Linked DNA regions of Caenorhabditis elegans. The protein of the gene in region 4 purifies or fractionates together with the protein of the main gene of each other region. This does not show direct contact. Each region holds a gene or a part of one and is shown on either strand. Other genes may lie near its edges.

Region 1 (9,315 bases), 1.9 Mb from region 4:
CGTCGATTGGATCGATGTTTGCTCGATGAGAATTTACTCCACGACGACGTTCCAACTCTTTTCCACGTCGACTTTGATTCTTTGCCATGTAATCCAAAACAGCAAGTTGTGTCTTCTCAGAAAGATCTCGATAGTATGATTGAAGACGGAATTGAGCTGGTGATTGGGTTACTGCCACGTATTCGACAATAATTCGCTGAAAAATTTAAGATATCAAGACGGGAATATGCAACAAAAGTAAATGGGCTATCACTTATGGTTATCTTAATTTGATGTACTTATATATATTGGATGAGATCTAATTTAAGTTTGGTTATTAAATTAGTTTACTAATTTGGCTGAAACATTTTTGGCAAATTTACAAAGTTGCCCCCCCCCCTCCTTTTAATATGAAAATCCAACTTTTTGATTTGATATAAAATGAATATAGAAATGTAGAAAACTATTCGTTCAATCTGAAAATAATGTTTATTTTTGCTCTAAACTATTTGAAAAGCACTTCAAATACTGCGTTAAAGTTGCCGTTTCCAGTTAAAAAGTTTTTGGCAAATGATAGCTTTCGAGTACTAGTTGAGGTGTTTTTCAAAATTTTAAACTCAAATTAATATTTTTTCCGATGGTACAACCCATTTTCTTCATTTCTATACCAGTTTTTCATTCATTCAATATAATGAATTATAACATTGAAACAAACAGTTTTGTAAGTTTTGCAGAAGATTTGCCGCCCACGCTTGTTGTAGATACCGGGAGCAATTCATAGTAAATTCCCCACAAGTCCACGTTTGAACGTACCAAAACTCTTTGCATCTTATACTTTTCCACGTAAGAGAAACATTTCTCCGTCTTCTTCTGATATTCATGATAATGTGCACACATGAACATCTCACACGCATCCACAATTGGTTGACATTGATAACGATCTGCGAGTTGGAGAAGATAGTCGAGGCTTTTCTCTGCAAATTTGATAATAATTCGATTCTCAAAATTGTGGAACATACTTGTAACAGGTTGTCTGTGTGGATAAATACATCTGAGGAAAGTTATAATCTCACGGAACTTCTCTTTCATCTCATAGATTTCTTTATCTTCACCCAATTCTCCATAGAATAATGCTTTAAAGAATGGAGACATCATTGACAGATATCTTTTATTCACACGAATAAGACGATCTTCAACTTTCAACAAAGCATTCTCTTCTTCTGGTAGAACATCAAAATAGTCGTAGAGCATTCCGAAGTTCATAGTTTTAATGACATTCACTGTGATTTCTACTCTCATACTTCTCAGCTTCTCTCGAACCATATGATCTTGAAGCTTCAATGGACGAAAGTAGACATGATTGGATCCTGTATATCGTCCAGTAAACTTTTCGCTTCTCACAGAGTTTGTAACGTGAGCCCGAATTTCGAATTCAACTTCCGCTGACCAGGTGGCTGGAGTTTTGAAGTAAGCAGCAAAGCATTCGAAGGAATTTGCACGCAACTCAATTTGCCTGACAATTCAGTTTTGTTATGGGATTATATTATTTCTCAGAAGCAACGTTGATCGATTTCCGTGCAAAAATACGGTTTCTCGAAACGACAATAAAGAGTACTGTAGTTTCAACTTCTTAAAAATTATGTTTTTTTTTAACCATAAAGCCAAAATTCAGCGTTTTTTCCAGAAAAGTGAACAATTTATCGTTTAGAAGTAAAACTGACCATTTCATACACTTCAAATGAATCCAATATCTGTAGACTTTGTGCTCCTCGTCTAGGACCAAATCAAGAGTCTTGCTACTCTTAAAATCATCACTTAAATCCACAATATCCACTGGATACTCTTCAGCGGCAGCCTTGTTCGGAGCCATTTTCAGACTTTACCCTGAAATTTTCGATAAGATTTTGTTGGGGAAAAAAGAATCTCATAAAAGGAGAAAAGGCATGAACTGAAAAAGAAGCACGTGGCAGACCGAAAAAAACGGGGAAATCGATAGAAAAGGGTTGTAGGGGCAAGGAGACATCTAAACAACACACATGCTATATGCTGCCCCAGTATTCTGCGTCTCTTCTCTCTCTCTCTCTCTCTATAAGAACGAGAAAGCAAAAACATGATAAAACCACTTAAAAAAATAAGAAAGCTTTTATTTTAAATAAAAATTTAAAAATAAGAACATTTTAGTTATGCTTCAATTTTAAAGTGGCCACAATGTTGGTGAAAAAAAATTAATTTTTAAAAAAGTTCACAATTTTATTGGAAATTTGCTTATAAAGTCGATATACGTCGAAAGAAACACTAAAAAACAACAAAAAACAGAAAAGACCTACTAAAACGAGCAACTCACCATATTCCAAATGAAATGTCAAAACTCTTGAAGTGAACACAATCTTCGATCTTCCTCCACTGATCGGAGAGCGCGCCAGCAGGTGCTGTTGGCGCGCGACCGGTGCATTGACGCGATTCTCGTGCAAAATTTCGAATGCAATTTTCGCCTTTTAAGGGACAGTTTTCAGTTATTTTACGTTTAAAAACTTTTAAATTATTTAAAAAAAAACAACAGAAAAACTTTAAATATTGTTGTCTGTCTGATGTTCATAAAAATTCGTAAGATAATCCATTATTTTTCAAGGGTATTAATATTTTAGTTTCTTGAGTGTATTTCTTTGAATATTGTTCATTGTAAAAGGATTATGGTTTCCATTTCTTTTTAGTGATTTCATTAATAAATTTTTGCAATTGTTTATTACAATTTGAAAATGGTTTCGCGCAAGCTATCGAAGTTTAGGATGTTGTTTTCTAAATCTTTTCTAAAAAAAGTTTTTTTCCTTCCAACTTTAATCTTTCTTCCATATAATCAATATTGATTGTAGATCGATGTCTCGTTCAGGCGAGGCTTATGCGCAGGAGTTGAACCGCAAAAGGGTCGCAAACCAGCGTGCCGCGGCAGCCGAAGACAACGATGAGAATAAGGGAAACGGAAATAAAGTGGCCTTCGGAGCCGCTGGTAATTTCGACACGGTTAGTGAATTCTAATACTTTATTTGAAAATTTGAAAATTCTCTATTACTTTTTGAATCTTTTCAATTTCAGGATGTTTACGGAAGTGTTCGTGGTGAAAATCGGGATAGTTACCTAGACTCGATTGGAACCGGAGAAGAAGATGACGTCGATGAGGATTCGATGCCGAGTGTACAAAAGAAAAGTACAAATTATGCACAGCCACACAAATTCATCGAAGAGGTGGCTGCTGCCTCCGAGGACACTGATCCATTCGCAGATACTCGCACAAAAACCATCGCAGAACGACAATCCAAGTATCACGAAAGAGCTATGAGGAGACAGATCTCTCCAGACAGAGCGGATGCTTTTGGTAAGATCGAAAATCATTTTGACTTTAATTAAATTTATTCTTTCAGTTGATCAAACTCCTGACAATCGGAATCGAGGTTACGCAGAAGTTATGCGTGATCAGATGTACCATGAAGAGAAAGGGCGTGTTGAACGGGAGCTTGCCGATCGAGCAAAAGCTGGAGAGCTTCATGTTACTGGACAGCCAGAGAAAAAGAAAGGAAGATGGGATGCTGAAGCTCCATCAACTGATGCATCTTCTGATAATCTTGGTGCAGCTTCTGCAACTCCATCTCAGGGTTCTGCTCCACGAAAAAGATTAGGATTTTCGAAGATTAGTGCAGATGCAGCAACACCAAGAGCTGCTAGATGGGATGAAACACCGGCTCACTCGACTGGAGCAGCTGATGCAACTCCTTCTGTGGATAAATGGTCAACGACTCCGGCAGCACAGACCCCGAGAAGAAATCGTTGGGATGAAACTCCAAAAGAGAATCTCAATGATGGATCAATGACACCGGGATGGGGAATGGAGACTCCTGCTAGAGGAGGATCAGATGATGTTAAGATTGAGGATACTCCATCCGCATCGAAGCGTCGTTCACGATGGGATCTGACACCATCACAAACTCCGAATGTGGCAGCAGCTACTCCACTTCATTCCGGATTACAGACACCATCATTCACACCGAGCCACCCTTCACAGACTCCAATCGGAGCAATGACTCCAGGTTTATTACAAAATATTGTAATTAATATAAAATTAATATAAAATATATTCAGGTGGAGCAACTCCAATTGGAACGGCAGCAATGGGAATGAAAACACCAGCTCCTCATATGATTCCAATGACACCTGAACAAATGCAAATTTACCGATGGGAGAAGGAAATTGATGACAGAAACCGTCCATTGACTGATGAAGAACTCGATTCACTATTCCCACCTGGCTACAAGGTTCTGGTTCCTCCAATGAACTACATTCCTCTGAGAACACCATCACGGAAGTTGATGGCCACTCCAACTCCAATGGGTGGAGCTGCTGGTGGAGGATTCTTTATGCCTGGAACACCAGATAGAGATGGAATCGGAGAGAAAGGAGTCGGTGGTCTGGTGGATACTCAACCTAAGAATGCAGAATTACCACCTCTAAAGCCAGATGATATGCAATATTTCGATAAGTTGTTGATGGATGTAGATGAGAGTCAACTCACGAAAGAAGAGAAAAATGAACGGGAAATTATGGAGCATTTATTGAAAATCAAAAATGGAACCCCGCCAATGAGAAAGAGCGGATTGAGAAAAATAACAGAAAACGCGCGAAAGTACGGAGCAGGTCCACTTTTCAATCAAATTCTTCCACTTCTCATGTCACCATCGCTGGAGGATCAAGAACGGCATTTGATGGTAAAAGTTATTGATCGAATTCTATACAAATTGGATGATCTCGTCAGACCATATGTGCATAAGATTCTTGTCGTCATTGAGCCACTTCTTATCGATGAGGATTATTATGCAAGAGTTGAAGGTTTGAAAATTTAGAATAAATTTTAAAATTTAAAAATTAAATATTTTCAGGTCGTGAGATCATTTCCAACCTTGCAAAGGCCGCTGGATTGGCAACAATGATTTCTACAATGAGGCCTGATATTGATAATGTTGATGAGTAAGTTTGTCGACAGTTTTGTTGATTTTTCAATTAAACAAACACCAAATATATGGTTGTTCAATTTTCCCTGGAAAACAGTAAAAAAATTGAAGAAATATTAAAAATTAGTTTGAAACTATAGAAAATCTGGCAACTTTTGGCCATTTTTGAGAACTTTCTGAAACGTTCCAGCTGAAATTAATGTTAATTTCAGATTAATCAAGTGATTTTCTATAGGTTTACACTAGTTTTTAATTTAAAAAAGTCCGAAAAGACCGAATTTTTTCAAAAAAAGTTTTAAAAATGTATTTTTTAGATTTTTAAAAATCTCACTATGAAATTCGGTATTTGCGGGTCAGTTTTAATGAATTTAAAGCAGAAAAAACATCACAAAGCTTTTAATCAAACCCAAAAATTTGCAGATATGTCCGTAATACAACCGCTCGTGCATTCGCTGTCGTCGCCTCAGCTCTCGGAATTCCAGCTCTCCTCCCATTCCTTAAAGCTGTGTGCAAAAGTAAAAAAAGTTGGCAGGCTCGGCACACGGGTATTAAAATTGTTCAACAAATGGCCATTTTGATGGGTTGTGCAGTATTACCACATTTGAAAGCACTTGTTGATATTGTTGAAAGCGGATTGGATGATGAACAGCAAAAGGTTTTCTTTTTAATTTCTAAAGTTTCTGGAATTGATGCAAATCGTTTCAGGTCCGAACTATCACTGCTCTCTGCTTGGCAGCTCTCGCCGAAGCTTCATCTCCATACGGAATTGAAGCTTTCGATTCAGTGTTGAAACCTCTTTGGAAAGGTATTCGTATGCATCGTGGAAAAGGTCTTGCTGCATTCCTTAAAGCTATTGGTTACCTGATTCCATTGATGGACGCAGAATATGCTTCATATTATACAAGAGAAGTGATGCTCATTTTGATTCGCGAGTTTGCATCGCCAGATGAGGAAATGAAAAAGATTGTTTTAAAGGTGAGTGATATAATAACCAAAACATTCGTAGAACTATCGTTTAACATTTAAATTTGCAGGTTGTCAAGCAGTGTTGTGCAACAGACGGAGTAGAAGCGAGTTACATTCGAGACGAAGTACTTCCAAGCTTCTTCAAAGCATTCTGGAATCAAAGAATGGCTATGGATCGTCGTAACTATCGCCAATTGGTTGATACAACTGTGGAAATTGCTCAAAAAGTCGGATGCGTTGAGATGATTGCTCGAATTGTTGATGATTTGAAGGATGAAAATGAGCAATACAGAAAAATGGTTATGGAAACAATTGAGAATATTGTAGCGTTGCAAGGAGCGACTGATATTGATGCTCGACTTGAAGAACAACTGATTGATGGTCTTCTTTATGCTTTCCAGGAACAAACTCAAGAAGATTCTGTGATGCTTGATGGTTTTGGAACAATCTGCTCAAGTCTTGGACGACGTGCCAAGGCATATATCCCACAAATCTGTGGTACTATTCTGTGGCGTCTCAACAACAAATCTGCAAAAGTTCGTCAACAAGCTGCTGATTTAATTGCCAGAATTGCACCGGTTATGCATATGTGTGAAGAGGAGAAAATGATGGGACACATGGGAGTAGTATTGTATGAGTATTTGGGAGAAGAATATCCAGAAGTACTTGGATCAATTCTCGGTGCATTGAAAGCAATTTGCAATGTTATTGGAATGACCAAAATGACTCCACCAATCAAAGATTTGCTGCCAAGATTGACACCAATTTTGAAGAATCGTCACGAGAAAGTGCAGGAGAACTGTATCGATTTGGTGGGAGCAATCGCTGATAGAGGATCTGAATTTGTATCTGCAAGAGAATGGATGAGAATCTGTTTCGAGCTTCTCGAATTGCTTAAAGCTCACAAGAAAAGTATTCGAAGAGCTGCAATTAATACATTTGGATTTATTGCAAAAGCTATCGGACCACATGATGTTCTCGCAACGTTGCTCAATAATTTGAAGGTAGGCTCGGATTAGAAGTGATTCTTTTAAAATAAATTATTTTTCAGGTCCAAGAACGCCAGCTCCGTGTGTGTACAACAGTCGCCATTGCCATTGTTTCGGAAACTTGTGCCCCATTTACAGTACTTCCAGCAATTATGAACGAGTATCGTGTACCTGAAATTAATGTACAAAACGGAGTTTTAAAAGCTCTTTCATTCATGTTCGAATACATTGGAGAAATGGCAAAAGACTACATTTATGCAGTTGTTCCGCTGCTCATTGATGCATTAATGGAAAGAGATCAAGTTCATCGTCAGATTGCAGTCGACGCAGTTGCTCATCTTGCTATTGGAGTTTATGGATTTGGTTGTGAAGATGCACTTATTCATTTATTGAATTATGTGTGGCCCAATATGTTGGAAAACTCACCGCATCTTATTCAACGATGGGTGTTTGCATGTGAAGGAATGCGAGTTTCGTTGGGACCTATTAAGGTTTTTATTTTAAATTCTTAATAATTTCAAAAATTAAAATTCATTTCAGGTTCTTCAATATTGCCTGCAAGCTCTTTGGCATCCAGCGAGAAAAGTTCGAGAACCAGTGTGGAAGGTAATTATTTTAGTTTCCTTGAATTTTCAATTACAGAAATAGTGGAAATATTCGGAATATAGCTTTTAAAATATTTATAGAATGTTTCTAATTTTTTAATGATTTTTTTCAATTGAATTTTTATTTTTCAGAGAAAATTTATTTTTATTGTGAAATATCTTCTTTTTTTTCGACCAAAAGTGAGCGACCGGAAAAATTGAAAAAGGAAAAAATTAAATACAGGTTGCGCGGGAATTCAAAAATGTTTTGGTACTTCTCAAATTTTCCGCAAAATTTAAAAAAAGATTAGAAAATTTCTATAAATTTTTTAAAATTTGTATTCGGAATATTGAGACGTTTTTTCCACAAGCGCTAAATTTTTATGTAATTTCATATTAATATTTCCAGGTCTTCAACAACCTAATTCTTGGCTCCGCAGATGCTCTTATTGCCGCCTATCCACGTATCGAGAACACCCCAACAAATCAATATGTCCGCTACGAACTTGATTATAATCTTTAAATAATTTTCTAATTTTTGTTTTTTTTATTTGGATCTCGATAACTTATTTTTCTATCTCCGTGTTCCCTCCCTCCTTTCATCACATTTTCATAGAAAACGAAACCTTTTATATTTTAATCCCATTTCCCTCCAAATATTCTCTTGAATCTAGATTAATCTAACAAAATTGTTTTGGTTGTCAGTGGTTTTTTTTTGTTTTTCTATTACTTTTCTCCAATATCAATCAATTTATTCCCAAAAAAAAAAACAACAACAACTCTTGCGATAGATATTTAAAATGAAGACTTGTCAAATTATTTTAATGTTTTAAAGAAATCCCTTTTTTTTTGTTGAAGTCAAATTTCGCTTATTTTTTCTCGTTTAAAAATTTTTTAAATACCTTAAAAAATATCAGAGTTTCCTAATACTCTCCAAATATAAAAATAATTTTCTAATTTTATTTTTGGCAAAATTATCTTTAAAAAAGAAATTTTACAAATTCTTTCAATATTAGTTCCTTAAAAACGAAAATTTTGCGCTTTTTGCAGCAACAGTACAGTGGCTGGTCTCGAAACGACAAATGTGTATTAAATGCAAAAATGGTGTGCGCCTTTAAGGATTACTGTAGTTTAAGAATCTCTTTGTTACGGAATTTTCATCGATTTTTCATAATCTTCTTTCAATTTTTATTTTTCTAATCGAAAAACTTTTGTTTGCACAGAATTTTCATCGATTTTATCTCAAAAATATATTTACTCATACAAATATTAAAATACTTAAAATTTGAACAAAATCTATGAAAATTATGCAGCTACGATATTTTTGTTAAACACATTTTTGCATTGAACTAAAATTGTCGCGTCGAGACCGGTTACCGTATTTTTTGTACAAATGTTCGCGTCTTTGTAATAATTAAATTCTCTGAAAATTAGTTTTTCTCAAAAAATCGATTTTTTTCAGTCATCCCTTCCAAGTGAGCAAAAGAATTTCGAAAATCTTCGTTCAAAAGCGCAGGTGCTGCTTTGGTCCGTGAAGGCGGTGTGGATCCACGGGGATGGCGTTCGAAATAGCTGGACCCAGCAGCAGCAATAACTCAAGTCAACGGAGAGCAACCACTGAACCACCGCCTGAAAATGAGCTACAACTTGGACTTCACGAGGCACAGAAGATGACATGGAATGCTAAAGTCGTGTATCACACGATCGACAAATGTCCGCATTGTGATCCGGTTCGTAATGGATAGGGCACAGAATTATTCATTAAAATACTGAAAAATTAAAATTAAAGTAAAGTTAAAA
Region 2 (5,366 bases), on a different chromosome or scaffold from region 4:
GATTCACATTTCTCACTGATGCTATTCATCTCTGCGACTTTACGATGGCAGAGCATCTTAGGCTTACAAAAATGAATGTGTTCTCTCATCTGATCTCTCGTGACAACTTCTTCCGGCCGAAAAGTAAAAATGTGGAAACCAAGCACATCGAGCAAGATGATGTGAAATTGTTCGATCTCTTAAAACTTCCTCCGGAGATGATAGAGCAGATCATGCAACGAGTAAGTTTTCAATTCTGGGAAAATACTTCTAAAAATAAAAAAATCTGAATCTCTCCTTTTCAAAAAAACAACGTTAAACACTTTTTGAGCAGATGCACTTCCAACCGGATGATTCCTAAGATTAAAAAAAATTTTCAGTCGGCTTACAAAGACGCTCAAAGTCTAGCAATCACGTGCAGTGCTGCCAATAACATTTACCGACAGAATAGTCTGAAAATGGTGCTCCCAGATGTCATTTTGATTCTTGACTTCTCCAGTGGCGAGATGAATGTCCGATGGATATTGGAGAAAAATCAACAAGAAAATGAAAGCGATCCAGACTCTGAAAAATGCTTGAATCAATCCGAAGTCAACGAGAAGAAGAAAACCCAGCTGCTGCGTAACACAACTATTTTAAAAATTGTCACCACTGATGATTTCGAACCGGAATACTGTGAAGCTGTGCACAACTTCGTTGGATCCAGAACATTTAAAAGAATCATTGTCAAGGGTTTCGAGTACACGGAGAATTTGAAAATGATGGTGGAAATGTTTGACAAAGAAGTTGTGGAGATTGAAGTGAACGCACTAACTGACGACTTCATTCCGTTCCCAGATGTGAGTTGTACTTAGAATTTGAGAAAATTTGAATTTTTCGTGTTATGGTTTAAAGAGCGTTCCAAAAAAGTAGGATCATGCAATAAGTTAATAAAAATTCCAATATCCCCTAAAAGTTTTAAATGCAATAACTGAGACGCAATTCAATTTTAAAAGTATAGATTTTTTTTGGCCGACTTCCAATTTTTTTGACCATAATTGCAAACTTTCAAGTTTTTAAAAATAATTTTTTACAATTACATCAAGGCAATTTAGTACTTCATGAGCTGATTTAAATAATTTCCCTACTGAAAATACTCTACATTTTAATTTAAAAATAAATTTAAAATAAACAAGTGTTATGTAGAAGCAATACAAATTTTCAGATCAAAACCATATCCATCCGCGACACTCTCAACAGGGATCACGGAGAACGGCTCTTTTCTGCGAAGCATTTTGTCAACATCAATTGTGCTCTCAACAATATCGACACATTCCGAAAAGCTCTTCGTGATTGGGATAATGGACACCGAGAAGTTGGTAGATGGGTAATTCTGAAACAATTCACCATCTTCCAAACACCCTTTGGTAGACGTCATCGGCCGAAGACTTCCTTCCGAAAGGGGTATTTGGAGTTTATCAGTGAGCTCAACTCATCACAAATGCCACATGGAGAAATAACCGAATACGTTTTTCACGAGACTAATTAACATGATTCTTAGCGAAAATGAAACCAACTAATCTACTTTTATGAGAAAATTATTTATTTCTTACATTCCCTAAAATTTTCTATATAACAATTTTTCTATAGTTTTTTATAACAGTTTTTTGTAATATTTGTTGTCACTAATTCTTGTTCATCTCAAAAACTATTAGACTCCAACCCGGTTTTTTTTTCACACAGCTCATTCCACTTCTAAGTTATTGTTTTGTTTTGTCAAATCTCCAATTCCCAAGCAAATCTATTATCCAGTCATTCATGTTGATGAAACAATAAACTTTGGTACACTTTTTGTAGATTGGTTTTCGTCATGCATTTTCAGTAGTAAAAAAATCTAAAGCGTGATACATTTACCGCAAAGTAACATTTATGGGTTAATACTGTGGTATAACAAAAATGGCCTCAAACAACCAAATATGTACCACCTATAGTATGCCAACCGGCTTAACATGTGCCTAAATCGATTAAAAAACAAGAAGTAAAAATAGAAATATGCCTAATAAGTTTATAATTAGAACAAATTAATTTCAGCGTTCTGCGAGTGCTGATTTCAGATGAATTTGATTTTTTCTTTTGAAATTTTATATATTCGTTTTGAGTTTTGTTTTACTATATAATGTCGAGATTTGATTTTTCTAGGAAATTGATAAAAATATTTAGGTTCAAATTAAAGTATATAAAAAAGCAAGATCTAAAAAAACTCGCAGAAAACGCGCTCTTTTAATTTTTGTCTTATTACTAAAATTTTCAGCTGAATTAGTTTCCATTTAATATTTGAAACCTTTTAAAATACTTCTAAAAGTTGAAAATTATTAAGAAAAACAAAAATTTCACGAAAAACAAAACAAAACATTGATGCCCTACTTTCTCTGGCCTTATACGTGGCAAGGCTTGCAGCTCGCTTTGGCTGGCAGGACACGTGTAACTTTTGCACTCTCATTTTTTTCACAGTTTTGTAAACAAAATCTCTTTTTAGTTTCTTTTTTCTCTCTTTTAACCGTTTTTTTTTGCTATTCCTCTTTTAATCTGCCTTTTGCGCATTTACACTGTACTTAACTTTTTGCCGTTCGTTCGCTCTTCTTCCCATGCATAACACTTGCCATTCCTCCTTTTTTCCCACACAAACAACAACTATCGATTTCTGGTATTCCAATCTTCTGTTGTTTTTTTTTGTTTTCTCTCTTACCAGTCTCTTCATTCTGGTTAGCATCTATCTCAAACTGTTATAAACCCTATAAAAAGTGCGCGCGCGTACCTTTCTCTTTTACCACTGACTGTTTCACATTTTGAATCAAATAACAATTGAACGTAGTTGCAGCGATTGGTGATGTTGAGAGCGCCAGCTGCCGAATCGAACAAGGATGTGATTTTGGAGGTGTTGAGAAGATTCGCAACATCTGGAAAGAAAGTAAGTTTTTAAAAAATGTGTTTCACATTTTTTTAAAATGAAAACATTAACGATATATATATATTTTTTTTTTTCAGGTGTTCGAGCTAGCTTCTGGAACTGGACAGCATATGGAACATTTTGCACGGGCTCTGCCGGATGTCACTTTTCAACCGACTGAAGTTAATGGTCGATACCTCCATTCCATCGTTTCTTATTTGGATCAAAGTCAGGTTAGTCAGCAGTTAGTTGCCCTGCCCAAATTTCCACTTTTCACAATAGCAAAAAAGAGATAATACTTGAATTAAAATGACTGCATTTTTCCACACTCCTGTTGAAAAACCTTTAAAAAATTTTAATTGCCAGCAATTGACAGAATGTTTTAACAAAAAACCACACTCCAGACTGTTGGGGTGAACAATAATTCTAAACTAATTTTTGATTTCTCTTTTTTTACAACTTTTTATGAAAACTCAACTTTATGTTTTTGTAACCATAAAGTAATATTTTTCAGTTTCCAAACGTCCGCATCCCCCTCTTCATCGACGTTGCAAAACCATTCAATCAATGGGCTCTTCCTGCGGATTTCGGACCTCATATGGTAAATTGTTTCCAGACTATATTGGAAAATAACTTCGTTTTTTTTCAGGTCGACATTGTTCTCAATATCAACATGATTCACATTTGCTCCACGGCTGCAGTTAAAGGCCTTTTTCAAGTAAGTTTTTTTTTTTGATAAATGTCAAAGGTGAAATACGAATTTCAAAAATAGTAGGATAAATTTCAATGGGACTGAATTTTTTCTTCAAGTTGCAAATAATTTTGAAATAAAAACAAATTTTATCACATCAAATTCAAACACTTCTGAACTAATTTAACCTTTTTTACAGTCTGCCGACTTGCTTCTTCACGAGACGAACGGAATCCTCATGACTTATGGACCATATGCAGAGGATGGACACATTTCACCACAATCAAACATCGCATTTCATACAAATCTGAAAGCTGAAGATCCGGAACATGGCCTCAAGGATATCAAATATCTGGAGAGGGTAAGGAGATTTTTTTTTAAAGTTAATCTCGGTTTTATTACCATGAAACTGAACGCTTAGTCAGAATTTTTTTCGAGAATTTAAATATAAATTCATAGTTTATAACATATTGAATTTTCAGCTTGCAAACAGTTCGAACCTCCGTCTTGCCGAAAAGATTACAGTTCCGAAGAATAATTTCATTTTGATCTTTTCCCGTTAAACGCTTGTACTTTTTATTTTCAATCTGTTCTCCTGTACTTGTAATACTTGTAATACGCTAGATTTTCAGCGATGCATGGCCTTGATAACTCCTTTTAACTGCAAATAATATTTGCAATATTACGCTCTTTAATATAATATAAAGCATGTTTGATTTCAATATTCTATGATATATGATGATTTTAAAGCATTTTCAAGTGTAATTAATTTCTCCATTTTCAGGTTGAAGTCGATATTAACAGTTGTCTTTTTGAAATGGATTCCAAATTGCTATTTAAAAATTTTATTCAAATATTTTACCTATTGGAAAATAATTACTCTTTTCAAGAAACCATTTTCGAACTTCCTCAAGAAACGTTTCAAGTATTGAAGCAGGTGTTTTGCCACCTTCATGTTATGTTTCTTTGACGCAGTTATTTCTGGTCTAGTGAGCAGAGCCGATTCTTGGTGTTAATGTGAAGTCATTCTATAACAGTGGAACTAGACATTTCAAAAAGAAGTGCGCGGATGTCAAATTAAAAAAAAAACTTAAAAAAAAAAATTTAAAAAAACTCTGGAATTAAGAAAAGATTGACTATATGGGTGATTGTACGGATATTTTAATGCTTTAAGAATATTTGATTGGCATTACAGAAATAGATTTTGTTCGTTCTGCTGAATTTAAAATTGCAGCTGAACCCAGCAGCATCTAAGCACAATTACTAATTTTGCTTGTTTGTATGTTTCGATTTGCTATCACCAAATAGTTTGCGCGTGTGATTTTTATTTTTTTATTTTTAAGCGTTTCATTATTTTTTTTTAAAGTTTTATCATCTATCATTTTGTGACAAGTAAAACTTTGTCTGGTTTATCTGATCTGACCAGAAATCGCACAAACGGGTAATAATCCTTTTAGCTTAAAAGTATGAACATTTCAATGTCGCTCGAGTAAGATCAAAAAATCAATCTAAGAAAAAATAGCGCTCAACAATAAAAAGTATTTTTATATTTATTTACTTCATTTTATTTACGATCAGCTTTTCTTTTAAATTTGAATTTCATTTATTTGTGTGCAAGCTGCTAAAAAAGTTTCTTGATGCATTAAAAAACAATTGATTTCAATATTCATATTACAAGTGCGTGGAAACTTCTGGTTTTTTTTTCAGTTTGTGTGATTTGTAACAAGTATACAACAAATGTTTATAGGCAATTTTCCAGTTAAAACATCT
Region 3 (9,091 bases), 1.3 Mb from region 4:
TATATTGATTTCCTGACAAAAATCACATGAAATTTCTACGGTGAGCATGGAAAAAAAACCATTTCACCACAAAAAATATAGAAAAGTTGAAATTGACTACAGTAACTTTAAAGGTACACACACTAAAACCAACTTTTGCTGCGAGACCCAATCTCTTACCAAAAAGCCGAATTAACAGCCATCAAATATAATCCAGTAAGCGGATTCCTCCATTCGATAGTTTCTCGATAGACTTGATGAAGTCTCCGGCCACTTTCTCGTATCCGTTCCATCATTTTGGAGTTTAAATTAAAATTTTAAAATTTCAACGAAAAACCAAAAAAAGAAATCGATAACTCTCTTCACATCTGTTATTATTTTCTTTTTTGTCAACCTAAAAACAGAACAGTTGTTTCTTTTTTTCTTTGAAACTCATAAGAGATAGAATGGGAGCGATGAGAAAACGCTTCGGGAATTATTGAATTATTGCGAAATCGGCATTTTTTTACAAATTTTTTTATGAGATCTGGAATCTGGAAAAAAAGAGAAAAAAGATGTTAAATAGAATCTCGGATCAAAACATAAAAAAATAAAATAAATAATTTATTCCCATCTGCTTCGTTTTGAGGAAGAGCTGCTGCTCGAAGAGCCACCAGAAGCTGAAGAAGCCTGTTGCTGTGCAATCTTTGCATTCAATTCATCCACTTTCTTTTTCCATTCTGGTCTTGGATCTGATGCTACTTGCTGTGGAAGATTTGAAGATTCATTTGTAGGTCGTTGAAATGTTGTTTGGAATGATTTCTGAAATGCACTTTTGAGCATTTGGGCTCTATTGGCTCCGGAAGCTGGGCCACTGCTTGAAGAGGAGGAGGAAGAGGATGACGTGGCAAAGCTGAAAATTCGATTTTTATGTTAAATGTGGTGGGGTGGATGAAATTATTTTTTTAAATACTGTCATTTATTAGAAATTTTTTTTGTTGAATTTTTTGGAAATTGTTGAATTATTTTTTTAATTCCTATTCTATTTAAAACTCAATTTCCCACATTTTTAAACATGCTCCGTATAAAAAACTTGATAATTTCTCTGAAAAATTTCCTAAAAATCAATAATTTAAACTTTGTCGCGTAAAACTTCTGAAAATTTGATTGACTATGTTTGAAATCAATTATCAAACAAAAAAATTTAAGAGAACCAAATTTTATAGCCGAAAACCCCCAAAAATGTCGAAATTAGGCCATTTTTTGCGGGAATTCAAAGATAAATCAGCCCGTTTTTGTGGGAAAATTGAAAAAAAATCGTAAAAAATTTAGAATTTAGATTAACACTTATATTTGGCTATTTCGGTCTATTTTCAATTTTTTGAAGTGCAAATAACTCTTTTTGAATTAAAAAATGATTTTCTTTCTTTTTCGAAATATAGTTCAAAATTTTTGCCACTTTTTTCTTTTTTTTAGTAAAAAATTTATTTTTTTTCTTCAGCACCAACGGTGTCGGTTTTTCGAATTTTGAAAACCGATAATTTTCGTTTTATTTCTAATTTCCGATATTTAGTAAAATTTTCCGATTTTTAAAAAAAATCTTAACATTTTGATCTCTTTTCTCCTAAATTTTTATGTGTTTTTTTCTTATCAATATAAAATAAAATTAGATGAAAATTTTTAAAAATATTTTATGGTTAATTCTCTGAATTTTTTTATTTTAATTTTTCGGAACATCAAATACTCAAAAATTGTTAGTTTTTCGATTTCCCTTCAAAAAAATGGAAAAACGACACATTTCTTTAATTTTCAAAATATAATTTTTCGATTTTCCGGAAAATCCGTAAACTACAATTTTTACATTTTCCTTGTCTCGGTAGCTATTTTTTTTATTAAAAAATTAATTAAAAATTTATACCTTTGTGCATTTCTGATCATTCCATCAACTGTCTGATTCCCTCCACCTCTACAACTTTTTTGCTCTTTTAATGGATCAAATTGTGCTCCAGTGGCACCTCCTCCAACTTGTCTAACTTTTGGTGTATATCCAAGACCCATTCTTCCACGTGTCTGTGTTCCAGTACTTGGTCCTCCATTCCCAGCTCTTTGTCCTCTAAACCATGAACTCTTCATTGCAAGATCCATTAAAGGTTTTGGTACTTCTTGTGATACACTTTCCAGATTTTTGACCAAATGTCCGACCATTTCAATGTCTTTTTCAGTAACAAGAGTGTATGCTGTTCCTTTGTGACCAGCTCTTCCAGTTCTTCCAATTCGATGAACATGAGTATCGATGTCACGAGCCATATCGAAATTGATTACGGTTCGAATTTCAGAAATATCCAGTCCGCGTGCTGAAAATTTAATTTTTTGATCGGAAAATTAGGGAAAATTGATTAAAAACCTTAGATTTTAGATTTTTAGAACTTTAAAAATTTTTTTACGGTTTCCAAAATTTTCAAAAACTTGAAAATCGCCAATTTTTAAATGTTTTTATTGGAGAAAATATTTGTTTTTTTTTTCCTATTTTTTTCCGAAAAAATATATTCAATTTTTTAAAAAAAATTTCAATAAATCGAGCAATTTTTCTCGACTTTTCGATGTAAAAAAAAACGAAACTTTAAAAGATTTTTAGGAAATTTTTCAAAAAGTCAAAATATTTTTATTTTTGTTCCCGAATTTCGTTTTTTTTTTCAATCAGATTTTTTGGTTAAAAATCTATATTTTTTTCTTTTTTTCCGAAAAAAAATTAATTTTTTTGGAGAAATCTCAATAAATCGAGCAATTTTTCTCGACATTTCAATGTAAAAAAAAAACGAAAATTTTAGATTTTTTCATAAATTTGCTAAAATTTTGAAAAAAGTCAAAATATTTCAATTTTTGTTGTCTTAATTTTTATTAAAATTTAATTGTGTTAAAAAATCCCGAATTTCATTTTTTTTGTATTTTTTTCTGATTTTCCTGTTAAAAATCTATACTTTCTTTCGTTCCAAAAATAATTTCAATTAAAAAATTGGGCGATTCTTTTTCAATTTTTTCAATTAAAAAAAATTCTCAATATCCGGTTCTTTTTTGATTTTTGTTAACATTTTTTATTTTAGACAACCGAAAATAGGATTTTTGATTTTACAAAAAAATAAATTAATTCACTTTTTACAGAAATATACTTTTTCGTTATTTTTTTTCACATTTTTTAAATTAAAATATTATATTTTTAAGATTTTTGGAATTTTCGAACTTCAAAAAAAAATTCCCAGTAAAACTATTACCTGCCACATCAGTTGCCACGAGAATTTGCGATTTTTTCCGGAATTTCAATAAATTTTCATTTCTCTCTGCTTGTAGCATATCTCCATGTAGAAGGACAATGTCGAAATCTTTCATTTTCAACTTTTTCGCGACGTCTTCCGAATCCAATTTTTTCGTGACAAAAATTAGCACTTTTCCGACTGAAAAATGGTTTAAATTATGGAAAATTTGATAATAATAAAAATCTTACGAGAAGCAAATTCCACTAAATTTCGAATAAGCCAATGCAATTTAACATCTTGATTTTGCATTACAAAAACTTTTTGTTCAATATCAGCATTCGCTTCTCCAACTTCTCCTTGTACAATTCGTACGGGATCTACGAGAGCATCTCGGGCGAGTCGTTCCACTTTTTGTTTAAAAGTCGCACTGAACATTAAGCATTGACGATCCGGGCGGACGTGATCGGATATTGATTTTACTTGAGCCTCTGGAATAATGGAAATTCGATTTTTTTTTTCAAATTTTCATCTTTTTTTTTTTGATAATTGTATATTTAATTGCTGTGAATTTAGTAACCAAGGAATTCCAAAAAATTCCAAAAAAAAAAACAAGCTTTGTGGTTTTTTTTTCAAAGAAAAATTTGGCTTTAACGGTTTTTAAGGTTTTTTTTCAAAAATTATTCATTTGAATTTGCTACGTGTTAAGATGAAAAATGTTACGGCAACGAATCCATAATCGAGCCATTTTTCTGGTTTAAAAACTCTCACAAAACTCAATGTTTTTGGTTCGAAATTTTTCGTCGCGGTCATGTTTCGATTTACGAGGCTCGTGGTGGGCAAACGACTTTTTCCGGCAAATCGGCAAATTGCCGGAATTGAATTTTCCGGCACTTTGACGGGATTGAAAATTTCCGGCAAATCGACAATTTTCCGAAAATGAAAATTTCCAGCAAATCGGCAAACTGCCGGAATCGAAAATTTCCGGCAAATCGGCAAATTGCCGGAATTGAAAATTTATGGCAAATCGGCAAATTGCCGGAATTGAAGTTTCGGGAAAATCGGTAATTTTGTTGAAATGGAAAAATTCCGGCAAATCGGCAAGTTGCCGGAATTGAAAATTTCCGGCAAACCGACAAATTGCCGGAATTTAAAAGTTCCGGCAAATCGGAAGATTGCCGGAATTTGAAATTTCCGGCAAATTACCGGAATTAAAATTTCGGGAAAGTCGGCAATTTTGCCGAAAAGGAAAATTTCCGGCAAATCGGCAATTTTAAATTTGTCGGTTTCCACTGGCTCGTGTACTCCTCGAGGAGGAAATTCAATTCGGGAAAATACACGAGCTGCGTAAATCGACATACGGCCATTTCTATAAGTTTTTTTCAAAAAAATATACCAAATCCCATATCAAACATGCGATCAGCTTCATCAAAAACTAAAAAAGTTGTCCGCAGGAAATTGGTGGCTCCCATCTTCACTAAATCGATGATTCGACCCTGGAAAAGCCTTTTGAAATTTAAAAATAAATATTTTTCTCAACTAACCGGTGTACAAACAACCATTTCAGCTCCTTCATTCTGTAATTCATTTGATTGTTCCCATTTACTACCTCCACCATATGCACAAATTGGATTAATATTGTAAACTTTGCAGAATTTTTTGGCCTCTTGGAATACCTGGAAAATTTATTTTTTATATTTCAAGTTTTTTGGTTGAATTTCCAAAAACCTGAATTGCCAATTCTCTCGTCGGAACCACAATAACTGCAACCGGGCCTTCTCCAGCCTTCAAATCGGGTTGATCCATAATATGAACGATTGCAGGCCACAAATAGGCCGCAGTCTTTCCTGATCCGGTTTTGGCAATTCCTAGAACATCTCTTCCAGATAATGCAGAGGGGATCGCCTGAAAATGTTAATTTTTTTGTCGATAAATTACAGATCGTCGATTTGCCGGAAATTTTGATTTTCGGAAAATTGTCGGTTTGCCGGAAATTTTCAATTCCGGCAAGGAAACATTCATAGGATGCGTACAATTTTGCCGATTAAAATTGAATTATTCCGTGACAATGTGCAAACCCACAGTTTGCCGAAAATCGAAATTTCCGGCAAATCGGCAAAAAAATCTGAAAAATCAATATTCACCATGGCCTGAATCGGAGTCGGCTGCTCATATTCACTCTTCCGAATTGCTTCCATTAACAGCTTATCAAATGAAAAATGAGCAAACGAGCAAACTGGACGTGGCGGCTTGAGGCCTCCAACTCGAAGATTCATTGTATTTTGAAGGCGAATTACATCCATATAGTGTAAGCGTCTGAAAATTTCTTGATTGATAATAGAAATTTTGCTCCAAAACTACGGTAACCGGTCTCGAAACGACTTGTTAAATGCAAAAAAGTGTGTGCGCCTTTAAAGAATACTGTAATTTCAAACTTCTATTGCTGTGGAATTTTTTTAATCGATTTTTCATAGTTTATGAAAAATCGATAAAAAATTCCACAGTAATTAACGTCTACAGTACTCTATAAAAGCGCACGAACTTTTTTTGTAATCAGCAAAAATGTCGCGTCGAGACCCAATTTTTTTCAGAAAATGCACAGAATTGGCTTATTTCAACATGATAATCGAACTTTTTCGATTTAAAATTGATATAAAAATGTAGAAAGCGAGGTTTTCTATCTGAAAATAATATTTATTTTTGTTGACAAACTTGAAAATTACCGTTCGCTGAAATTTTTTTAACGGCACCATTTGAGGTATTTTTCAAGATTTTCATCAAAAATAAATGTTATTTTCAGATAGAAAACCTTGTTTCCTACATTTTTATATCAGTTTTAGTTCGAAAAAGTTCGATTATTCTGTTGAAATAAGCCAATTTTGTGAATTTGCCGCGAAAAAAAATGTCTTATCCTGAACCCACTTAATATCCTCATGCTCCTCATAAAAGTTTTTATTAAACTTTTGATATTGAATCTGTGAATGATCGATATCTGGCAATGGATCGATAACCTTTTTCCATGACCAAATAATATTTCCATCTTCATCATATTCCAATTGCTCATCATCATTTTCGTGTTTCTCTTTGTACTCTTCCATGAATCTGGAAAACTTTTATATTGTTTAATATTTGATTTTAAATTCATGAATTAATTCAAAATTTCCTGTACAAACTTGAATAGAGATTCCTGCATATCCTCCTCATCAATATCTGCTCTTCCAAGCCCTTTTTTACTCGGATCCTCCGTATCTTTTCCCTCTTTCCGATCTTTCTCTTTTTGCTCCGAAACTTTTTTATCACTGGAAGCCTGCTTTTCGATTCCGGCCATAAATGCGTCGAGCTCATCTTCTTCATCATCGTCATCGGCGGCAAGTTTTGAGGAGGAAGAAGCGGGCTTTTCATCATCTGAGCCGCCTTCTAAATATCTAAATTTGAAATTATTAATTTTCTTTTTTTTTTTTTGAAAAAAAAACCTACTCATCATCATAAATCCGTTTCCTTCTTGATTGTTTCTCAGACGTCGAGCCATAAGCCATAAGATTTGCGTACTAAATTAATAATAATCCAGTGAAAAGTTGAAAATTTTTAATTTTTTCATGAAAACTAAAAACCTCTTGTTCCTTCTTCATTTCTTGCTCTTTTCGATTTGACAAGAGAATATTCCGATTTGGTGGTGGAACAGGCGCATTTCCGACTGTTAAAGCTGCAGGAGGAGGTACATTATTCATACTTTTACCATCTGAGAACAATAAAATTCATTTAATACGTGAAAATATCGATTTACCACTCAAACTGGAGGTTCCCGAACTCTTTGCGCTTACAAATCGATTTTGATATCCTCCTGAATATTTTCCACGCCACATTTTTGCCTGAAAACATAATAAATTTTGTTTATTTTGGAGGAAAATGATGTTTAAACATGTTTAAAAAGTCGTTTAATCGCAGTCACAGGGAGAATGTGGGCGTGGCCTTCGCTTGCAACACGCCGCGCGCATTTCGCAACGCTGCCGCACGTAGTTTATGTATTGCTGAATTGTTGAAGTACGTAACTACAGTAAGAAAATCATTTTTTCCACATTGAAATATTTCAAAAAAAAAAGAGAGAAAATATTATATTTTGAAATTATAAGAAATGTGGGTAGAAAACACAAAAACTATGACCTTAAGGTCGCACGAGAAAATTATTAAAAATAATTACAACGGAAAAACTACGAGAAAATTACCCTTTCACCATGAAAAAAAAACAATTTTTATTTTCTCCCGCGACTTTAAGTTCACAAAAGTTTTAAAATATTAGCGTGGCACACTAATCCATTAGTTAAACTCTAAGCTCTTGCTATATAAGGGGCAGAAATACGGTTTTCAAATCAGTACGAAGTTTTGGAAACTTCTAATCTTCTGGCAGTGGCAGTGGGGAGCAGTTGGCCCGTGGATGGCCTGTGGGTGGCCTGTGGATGTCCTGTGGATGTCCTGTGGATGGTCAGTGCATGGTCGGTGGTGGGATGTTGCCGAACAACCAGCGGCATCAATGGTCGTGTCGGAAGCCGAGGCCTCGGACGAAAAACACGTGGATCCGGATGGAATGGACAGGATCGGGTGGTAGCAGCGGACAGTGACCAATATTGAAACGTAAGTTCGAATGCTACTTTTCAGACATTTCTGAAATAACTTTAACAAGAACGAAGACGTACGCTAACTATATGTTAACTCGTCTTTTTGTTTTGAAATTTGAAGTAATTTTGAATACAACAGTGGCAAAAGTTAACTGAGTGAGCAATTATTCTTTGTTTTTTGAAATTAAAAAGTGTGCATAACAGTTCCTAAACAATTCGAATTTCAGCGTGGCACACTGAGAATGTGAGGAGTCATGGAGCACGTTGATGAGGGTGGAGCTGGAACGATCGGTTGGACACTGGAGTAAGCTGATAGGCTTTAAAAGGTAATTTTTAGAAATGAAACAATTTTGAAAATAGTAACTGCGAGAAAAAACCATTTCACGCAGAATTTAATTATTTAAAACACACATTAGTTCCTAAACAATACCAGTTTTCAGAGTGGCACAATAAACGGATGGGCGGTCAGGCATGTCGTCGAGCAAGCAGCGAAGCGATACCACTTTGGACTGGGAACCGAGGAGCATGTGGATGAGGCTGGAATGGCCGGGTAGCTGCAGAGGACAGTGGTCAAGAATAGAATGTGAGTTTATCAGTTATTTTTCAGAAAAATGTTTAATAAGAATGAAGACGAGAGCTATACTTAGCTATTGGTTAATTTGTCGTTTTGTTTTGAAATTTGGAGAGCATTTTGAATACAACAATGACAAAAGTTAATTGAGTTAGCAATTCGTCTTTATGTTTAGAAATTGAAAAAGTTTAAATAAAAAACTGCGCGAGAAAGTGTACATAATAGTTCCAAAACAATTAGAATTTCAGGATGACACAATAAACTGATGGATACTGGATGAGTAGAGGGACCTCGAGAAACGTAGCGACTGAAAGATGGGGCGGGGGCAGTGGAGAACGTGGATCAGGATAGATTGGAGCGATCGGGACGGTGTGCAAATGGCAATGGAGTCAGTCAAGGATGGACTTTAGTCCAACAAAGGTAACGAGGGTTTGAAATGATTTTGAAAAAAAAGTAAAATAAAATTTTTGATGAAAATTAAAGACACTAATAAAATATTATTTTTTATTCGTCTTTTCCAAATCAGTGTGTCCATTTTTAAAGTGTCTACTGGAAGCTTCATTTTTTGAATTCCATAAATTAAAATTTCATTTCCAAATCAGTGTGTCCACTTTTAAAGTGTCCACTGGAAGCTTCATTTTTTGAACTCCAGAAATTTAAGTTTCATTTCCAAATCAGTGTCCCGTGGTGGAAAAATTTTT
Region 4 (7,611 bases):
ATAACGAGACCGCTGAAAAAGTTTTGAGGTTTTCAAAATTCAACTTTTTTGGTGAAAAAGTCGAGATTTTCGCACAAAAAGTTGAATTTTGAAAACCTCAAAACTGTTTCAGCAGTCTCGTTGTGAAAATCAGGTAGTCTCAGCATTTAAGCATCATATGTATCATGTTTCAGAAAAAGTTTAGGTTTTGTATTCCCGTAATCCATCATTTTACATTGACCACTTTCACCGCTGCTTGCCCACTGAATACATGATTTTTTTACTTGGAAATTGTTTTAGCATCTGCAAAAAGTATTTATTTATCAGTTTTAATAAGAAAAAACGGGAAAAAGCTGTGAAAAACAAAAGAAAACAGGCGGAAAACAAAGCAAGATAAATGGCCGCTGAAACTTGTCGGCCCCTCGGCCATGGCCTAGAAACCACTTTTCCTCGTTCCTCGTGAGGAAAAAGTTACAGTGTAAAATCGTGAAAATTGCCTAAAATTTGACGATTTACACCTGAAAGTGCGCAAAATTCGAATTCCTCGTAAAATTTCAGTCTCGGGCGTCCGAAACCAAAAGTACGCAAACACCGACGACTACAGTACCCCCGGAAACACCGAATTTCACGCGATTTTCGAATTTTGAGCTGAAAAATCATGGGTAGACTAGGAAAATGGCGAGGAATTCGAATTTGATTCTAAAATTTTGCAGAAATTACTCTGAATCATACCAACGAAATTCCGAAATTTCGAACGTTTTTCGTTTAAAATCTGAAATTTTAGACAAAAAGCGTGAAAATTCGAGAGTTTTCGTGAAAAAAATTGGGAGAAAACTGAATTTTCAGCCAAAATTAGCTCGAAATCCGAAAAAATTAGATATTTAATCGAAAAATTGAAAATCGGCAATTTTTTGAAGAAAATTTTTTAAATTTCAGCTGAAAAATTGAGTTTTTACGTGAAAAAATTTGCAAAAAATTGAAAATAGCTCAATTTTTCCAAAATTTTTCAAATTTTGAGCCCATTTTTCAGGATCATCAACTCCTCCGCCCACACACACACGCCCCGCCTCCAACTCCATCTCGCTCCGCCCCCTCGTCGCCATCGTCGAAAAAATGTGAAATTTCTTCTTCGCTAAAAACGAGTAAATCGGCAAAAGCTTCATCTCTATCGAAACTGGATGATGGAATTATTCGAGTTTCAGAAATTGCAGACGAAGAAGATGATGATGACGTCACTATGATGAGGGGTCCACCGTCGAAAATGCGACGATTTTTTGGATATATGAAAAAAATGGTTTGGGGGAAGTAGTAATAAAGTTTTTTTTGAGATTTTTTAGACGTTTTTAGACGCGAAAATTGGCTGAAAATTGAGGCTTTTGACCGAAAATTTGCAAAAATCGAATTTTTTGGCCGAAAATTTTCATTTTTCGCAAAAAAATCACCCAAAAACTGATTTTTTTTTGTTGAGTTTTTTACAGAAAAAATTCAAATTTTGAGAATTTTGAGCTAAAAATTTGGGCAATTTTTACGGAGAAATGCTCAAAAAAATGAATTTTATGTTAAAAATCGAGTTTTTTCGCTTAAAAAAGTGAAAATTCCGCCAAATTTCAAATATTTTCCAGCTAAAAACTTTGTTTTTGGACTATTTTTTGGCTAAAAAATCCAGTTTTCACATTAAAAATTGCCGAAAATTTGAATTTTTGGGTCAAAAATCGCTGAAAAAGCAAATTTTCCACCTAAAAACCTCGAAAAATGCTCATTTTCCCCAATTTTCCCCCCGTCAAATTTTGAATAATTATCAACATTTTTCCTGGTATTTAAATTCACTGTCGGTCTCTCTATTTTTCCCCCATTTTTCCACTTTTCACCCCATTTCTCACTAGTTTGTATCATTTTTTGTGCTCCGAGCTTTCGATTCTTTGCTCTTTTACTCGAAGATCATCATCCATCCAATTTTTGTTCACTTTTACCGGCTCGCGGAGCACATTTTTCGGCATTTTTGGCCATTTTTTTGTTGGAATTTTTGAGAAAATTTCACAAAAATTGAAGAATTTTAAGCTAAAAAAGTGGAAATTTCAGCGAAAATATGGATTATTTTTACTGATTTTATCACTGAAAAATTCAGAAAAATTGGGATTTTCTAGGATTTTTTCACTGAAAAACTTGAAAAAATCCCACAAATTCTGGAATTTTCACTGATTTTTTTTCTGGAAATTTGAACAATTTTCAGCCAAAAACTGAAATTTTCCTGAAATTTCTCTAAAAATTTTGGCGAAAATTCAAATTTTCAGTTGAAAAACCAATTTTTCTGAAAAATTTCGCTTTTTTCTCCAATAAAAATGACCCAAAAATTCCAATTTTTTTTTTCAAAAATTTGTAAAATTTACTCGATTTCTCTCATTTGTTCTTTATTTATTATTAACTAAAATATCACAAATTTCTTATAACTATTCACCTCCCAATCCATCCATCTTATCCTAATTATTTGATTTTTTTTGTGAAAAAATAAGAATTTGAACATTTTCAGCTATTTTTTTGCTGTGATTTTTGACGTTTTTTTCGTCCATTTTTACCTTTTTTTTTGCTTATTTTCAGGGTTTTTTGTCTTTTTTTTAAGTTTTTTAAAGTCGAAAATTTGAATTTTTAATGATTTTCAAACAAATTTTCGATTTTTTTTCGTTGAAAAATTAAAAAAAAACTAGTTTTTCAAAAAAAAAATTTTTTTTTAATCAAAAGTTTTGAATTTTACCCTTTTTTTTCCAGGTTTCTGACGATTTTAACCAGAATTTCTGAAAATTTTAAGCATTTTTTAATGAAAAATTCTAATTTCGCTTCAATTTCAGCCCAAATTTAATTAAAAATCCATTTTTTACAGGCTTGTGATGGCAAAACATCATCCAGATTTGATTTTTTGCCGAAAACAGCCCGGAATTGCCATTGGAAGACTCTGTGAGAAGTGTAAGTTTAGAAAAATTATTGATTTTTCGCCTATAAACTACCGAAAAATTCAATTTTCCAGTGTAAAATTGGAATAATGTATCGATTTTCCTCGAAAAATCACTACAAATTCAACTTTTCTCTATAAGTTCCGAAATATCAAAAAAAAATTGATTTTTTTTTGAAAATTTAAATTTCCGATTATTTAAAAAAAAAGTAAACATTTCAAGCTAAAACTTTTAAAAAAAATTATTTTCTGATTATTTTCTGAAGAAAAATCGAAAAATGTGAAATTCTTAACCGAAAATGTAAAAAAGTTATCGATTTTAGTAGGAACATTCCTGAAAATTTAATTTTTCCTATTTAAAATTTATAAAAATTGGTGTTTATTGGCGAGAAATTCGAAAAAATAGTCTATTTTACAAGAAAAAACACTCAAAAAATTCAATTTTTGCAGGCGATGGTCGTTGTGTGATTTGTGATTCACATGTTCGTCCATGTACATTGGTTCGTATCTGTGAAGAGTGTAATTATGGATCATATCAGGTACAAAACACGCGGAGATCTACTGAAAAATGCTCAAAAATGAGTCGAAAATCATTGAAAATCCCGTTTTAAAATACAAAAATACAGTGAAAACTCGCAGAAATACGAAAAAATCGGAAAAATTTTGCAAATTTTGTTGTTTTTTGGGAAGTTTCCACCAAAAATCAACTGATGGCCGAACTCTTTGGATTTCTAGGCCATTGAAAACTGATTTTTCTCAAATTTTCAGTTAGAAATTGTGTTTCTCACCAATTTTCACCCCTAGAAGTTGTGTTTTTTTTTTGCGCAAGATAATTTGGTGGCCTAACTTTTGGGATTTCTAGGCCACCAATATGACAATGATGGTTTCAAGCCGTTTTTATCCTTTTTTTTAGAAGTTTTATTTGAAATAATGACAATAAAAACGATTTTAACTTGAAAATCGTGAAGTTTTCAGTTTAAATTCCTAGAATCCCCTAAAAATCTATGTTTTTTCCGTATAAACCAAATTCTATTCAGTTTTTGGATTTGATATCAATTGGTGGTTGAACTCTTTGGATTTCTAGGCCACCAATTATCTGAACTTTTTTCCCCTGTGACTCTTGTGCCTCTATTCGTATTGATTGCAGTAAAAACGGGTATTTATTCACATTTTCAGCCTTAAATCAGCTGAAAATGTGAATAAATACCGTATTTCTGCCAACAATTTGACAATAGAGCACATTTGTCACTCGGAGATGCGGAAGCTATGCCCAAATTTTCATTTTTCCCGAAAAACTTGTAATTTTTTACGGTTTTTCATTAATTTTTTTTTAATTTTTGAGGCTTTTTTTTGGCGAAGAGTCGCTTTTTAATCGAATTTTGAATATAAAAACTGAATTCTATGTGGTTTTTGGATTTAAAATCATTCGGTGGCCGAACTCTTTGGATTTCTAGGCCACAAAATTTTTGAACTATTTTCCCCTGTGACTTATGTGCCTCTACTCGTTTTTTTTTGTTTGCACTAAAAACTGTATTTATTCACATTTTCATCCTCAAATTGGGCTGAAAATGTGAATAAATACCGTATTTCTGCCAACAATTTGACAATAGAGCACATTTGTCACTCGGAGATGCGGAAGCTATGCCCAAATTTTCACTTTTCACCCGAAAACTTGTGAATTTTCACGAAAATTGAAATTTTTTGATGTTCCAAGTAGATTTTCGGATGAATTTTCGCAATTTTAGCTTTAAAATGCCAAAAATTTGGAATTCTTTAAGAAAAAAATATTTTAAAGTGCCGATTTACGCCGTAAATCGACACTACAATATTATCAATAATGTGCTGCGTGCGCATAAAACAAATACACTTAATCTGTGTATATTGCTGCGTCTTTGACCCCTCTTTTCCTTCGATAAAAATGGTAAAAATATCGATTTTTCGGTTTTTTCCTTGTTTTTTATGGAAAATTTGAATTTTTAAAGAAAAAATTGGTAAAAAACGCTGAAAATTCACTGGAAAAATGTGTTTTTAGCGAAAAAAAATGCCTCGAAATATAAATTTTTAATTTTTAATCTGAAAATTCCCGTGAAAAATGGGAAAATTTTCGAATTTTTCATGTTTTTTCGACTAAAAAGTCGAAAATTTTGTGAAATTTCTCGAAAAAATTGAAGTTTTCTCAATTTTCCAGCTTTTCCCCCTCAAAATGCTCCAATTTTCAGGATATTTTCATATATATTTTTTTTTTTTTTTTTTTTTTTTTTAAATTGTGAAAAACGTTGAAAAGTTCACTTTGGAAAAAGAAAAATATGGAAAAATTCAAATTTTCCACTAAAAATTGACATTATTTGCGGAAATTACCAGCTTTTCGGCGTAAAAAACGCTAAATTTGTCAGTTTTCCGCAAAAAATGCTCGAAAATCCAAAATTTTGTGAAATTTCTCTCAAAAAACGCGTGAAAAACGCTATTCAAAAAAGTGCAATTTTCAGCTTTTTTTTACTAATTTTTTCTTTAAAAAATTCAAATTTTTGACTGGATTTCTTCAAATTCTCCATTAAAAACGGGTTTTTACTCAGAAAAGAGGGGAAAAACCAGGAAAATTGAAAAATTTTCATATTTTTCGACTGAAAAATGCAAAATTTTGTGAAATTTCTCTCAAAAAACGAGTGAAAAACGGCAAAATTTACAAATTTTTCTAAAAAAAAATCGGAAAAACGCGAAATTTTCATGTTTTTTTTCGGCTAAAAATTAAAATTTCCATTTTTTTTTTTGCAGGGTCGGTGTGTGATTTGTGGTGGCGCTGGCGTCAGTGATGCATATTATTGCAAAGAATGCACAATTCTCGAAAAGGATCGTGACGGATGCCCGAAAATTGTGAATTTGGGAAGTGCGAAGACGGATTTGTTCTACGAACGAAAGAAATTCGGATCGAAAAAGTCGTAGAAATTGGCTTTTTGGCGGCGAAAATGAGCGAAAAATCACAAAATTTCGCCGAATTTTCACCTATATCACCTCTAATTTATCAAAAATGTTCCAATTTTCTGTTAATTTCCACTTTTTTCCGCTGAAAATTCCTATTTTTCTTGAAATCTGACTGAAATTTGGCTAAAAATGAGCTGGAAATATCGAAATTTGGCTGAAATCGTAAAATTCCCTTTTTGTTCCCTGAAAATTGAGCAAAAATGTCAAAATTTTGGCATTTTTGACCAAATTTTGCCTATTTTTGTGAAAATTTGCCTTTTTTTTTCGTTGTTTTTATCGAAATTTTGCTGAAATCGCGATTTTTTCCACTATTTTTCCCTAAAACATCCCTTTTTTACTGGAAATTTGGGCAACATTTTGGCATTTTTGCCTATTTTTGTGAAAATGTTACCATTTTATTGAAAAATTAGCTTAAAATGACAATATTTTCCTAAAAATTTCGAATTTCCGTGAAAAATAGCCAAAATGTCACTTATTTCAGTTAAAAATATGCCATTTCCCTGAAATTTGGCTGAAAATTCGCCTATTTTCACTTAAAATTCCGCAAAAAGCCCTTTTTTTCACTCAAAATGTTCAATTTTTCCCTGAAATTTGCCTGAAAAATCGATATTTTCACTCATTTTCACCTTAAAAATTGTCTTTTTCCCCCATTTTTTCCAATTTTCCTCTACCCTTTTATCAATTTTCGAATAAATTATCGATTTTTCTGTAATTTTTCCCTTTTTTTGCTGTGTTGTGCTGGTTTTGTTACCTATTTGTGTATATTTATCTCTATTTTTTACGGGAATTTTCAGTTTTCCCCGAATTTTTCTGAATTAAAATCACTAAAAATCGATTTTTCTTCCTGAAAATTGGGTAATTTTGCGAGAAATTTAATTTTTGTTTAAAAAAAAACTAAAATCTGAATATTTTTTGGAGAAAATTAACCAAAAACTTGAAATTTTATGAAAAAAAAATGGAAAAATTTCAGATAAATGCGTCGACAAGGCAGCGAAGAAGTTGAAGCTGTACAGCAATTTTTAAATGCTTTCGGGTTTCATGATAGAGGTAATTGGATTGAATTTTAGAAGAAAAAACACCGAAAAAGCCGAAAAATTGACTGAAAAATCGAATTTCTGACGAAAAAATGAGATTTTCCATAAAATATCAATAATTTCAAGTAAATATTCGAATTTCGAGGGGTACGGTAGCACCAAAAGTACGCAAACACTGTGGTACACCAAATCTTACGACATTTTGCAGAAAAACTCCTGAAATTATAATAAGAGTTCAGATTTTTTTCATCAAAAGAATATATTGGTGGCCGAACTCCTTGGATTTTTTTAGGCCACGATTTTCTGAGCCAAAAATTTTATTTTGAATTTTTCGTTCAAATCTCGTTTTTTACTAGAGAAACTCCAATTTCGGCTTTTTTTCTCTTGGTTGCCTAACTTTTTTTTTAGATTTCTAGGCCACCCATTAAAAATAGACCGTTTTATTTGATTTTCTACATAAAAACGGGGATTTTGAATTTTGAATAATTCAAATTTTAAAACCAAAATTTTAATTTTAAGTCTTTTTTTTTTTTGAGATATTTGAAATTTTCTAGACGGTTTTTTGGTGATGAATCGGTTTTTATTAGAATTTCAACTATAAAAACCGAATTCTAGTCAGTTTTTGGATTTAAAATCAATTGGTGGCCGAACTTGTTGGATTTCTAGGCTACCAAA

The links.
Region 1: the proteins of phf-5 (region 4) and sftb-1 fractionate together in Caenorhabditis elegans (co-fractionation; one large-scale study listed by BioGRID). This does not show direct contact.
Region 2: the proteins of phf-5 (region 4) and Y26E6A.3 fractionate together in Caenorhabditis elegans (co-fractionation; one large-scale study listed by BioGRID). This does not show direct contact.
Region 3: the proteins of phf-5 (region 4) and C46F11.4 fractionate together in Caenorhabditis elegans (co-fractionation; one large-scale study listed by BioGRID). This does not show direct contact.

Annotation. Positions count from the first base shown.
Region 1 is NC_003281.10:4,262,805-4,272,119, reverse strand, and holds sftb-1 (Splicing factor 3B subunit 1 domain-containing protein), read left to right. Parts: upstream 1-2,849; 5' UTR 2,850-2,853; coding exon 2,854-2,997; intron 2,998-3,069; coding exon 3,070-3,349; intron 3,350-3,395; coding exon 3,396-4,058; intron 4,059-4,110; coding exon 4,111-4,854; intron 4,855-4,904; coding exon 4,905-4,992; intron 4,993-5,396; coding exon 5,397-5,631; intron 5,632-5,681; coding exon 5,682-5,951; intron 5,952-6,010; coding exon 6,011-6,946; intron 6,947-6,993; coding exon 6,994-7,422; intron 7,423-7,471; coding exon 7,472-7,537; intron 7,538-7,924; coding exon 7,925-8,038; 3' UTR 8,039-8,337; downstream 8,338-9,315. Other genes in the region: R10E4.1 (BTB domain-containing protein), read right to left, coding at 1-196, 793-953, 999-1,492, 1,701-1,849; depd-5 (DEP domain-containing protein), read left to right, coding at 9,072-9,245.
Region 2 is NC_003284.9:13,907,366-13,912,731, reverse strand, and holds Y26E6A.3 (Methyltransferase-like 26), read left to right. Parts: upstream 1-2,781; 5' UTR 2,782-2,845; coding exon 2,846-2,926; intron 2,927-3,003; coding exon 3,004-3,138; intron 3,139-3,419; coding exon 3,420-3,506; intron 3,507-3,554; coding exon 3,555-3,623; intron 3,624-3,795; coding exon 3,796-3,957; intron 3,958-4,078; coding exon 4,079-4,159; 3' UTR 4,160-4,361; downstream 4,362-5,366. Other genes in the region: Y26E6A.2 (F-box domain-containing protein), read left to right, coding at 1-221, 360-818, 1,184-1,507.
Region 3 is NC_003281.10:3,657,230-3,666,320, forward strand, and holds C46F11.4 (RNA helicase), read right to left. Parts: upstream 7,076-9,091; 5' UTR 7,070-7,075; coding exon 6,991-7,069; intron 6,946-6,990; coding exon 6,818-6,945; intron 6,755-6,817; coding exon 6,684-6,754; intron 6,632-6,683; coding exon 6,380-6,631; intron 6,309-6,379; coding exon 6,129-6,308; intron 5,523-6,128; coding exon 5,351-5,522; intron 5,112-5,350; coding exon 4,935-5,111; intron 4,883-4,934; coding exon 4,751-4,882; intron 4,703-4,750; coding exon 4,603-4,702; intron 3,698-4,602; coding exon 3,458-3,697; intron 3,408-3,457; coding exon 3,228-3,407; intron 2,313-3,227; coding exon 1,877-2,312; intron 872-1,876; coding exon 583-871; 3' UTR 483-582; downstream 1-482. Other genes in the region: C46F11.5 (RING-type domain-containing protein), read right to left, coding at 160-272.
Region 4 is NC_003281.10:2,340,719-2,348,329, forward strand, and holds phf-5 (PHD finger-like domain-containing protein 5A), read left to right. Parts: upstream 1-2,854; 5' UTR 2,855-2,861; coding exon 2,862-2,937; intron 2,938-3,373; coding exon 3,374-3,462; intron 3,463-5,695; coding exon 5,696-5,863; 3' UTR 5,864-6,611; downstream 6,612-7,611. Other genes in the region: ppm-1.D (PPM-type phosphatase domain-containing protein), read left to right, coding at 1,010-1,288; gip-1 (Gamma tubulin complex component protein N-terminal domain-containing protein), read left to right, coding at 6,877-6,949.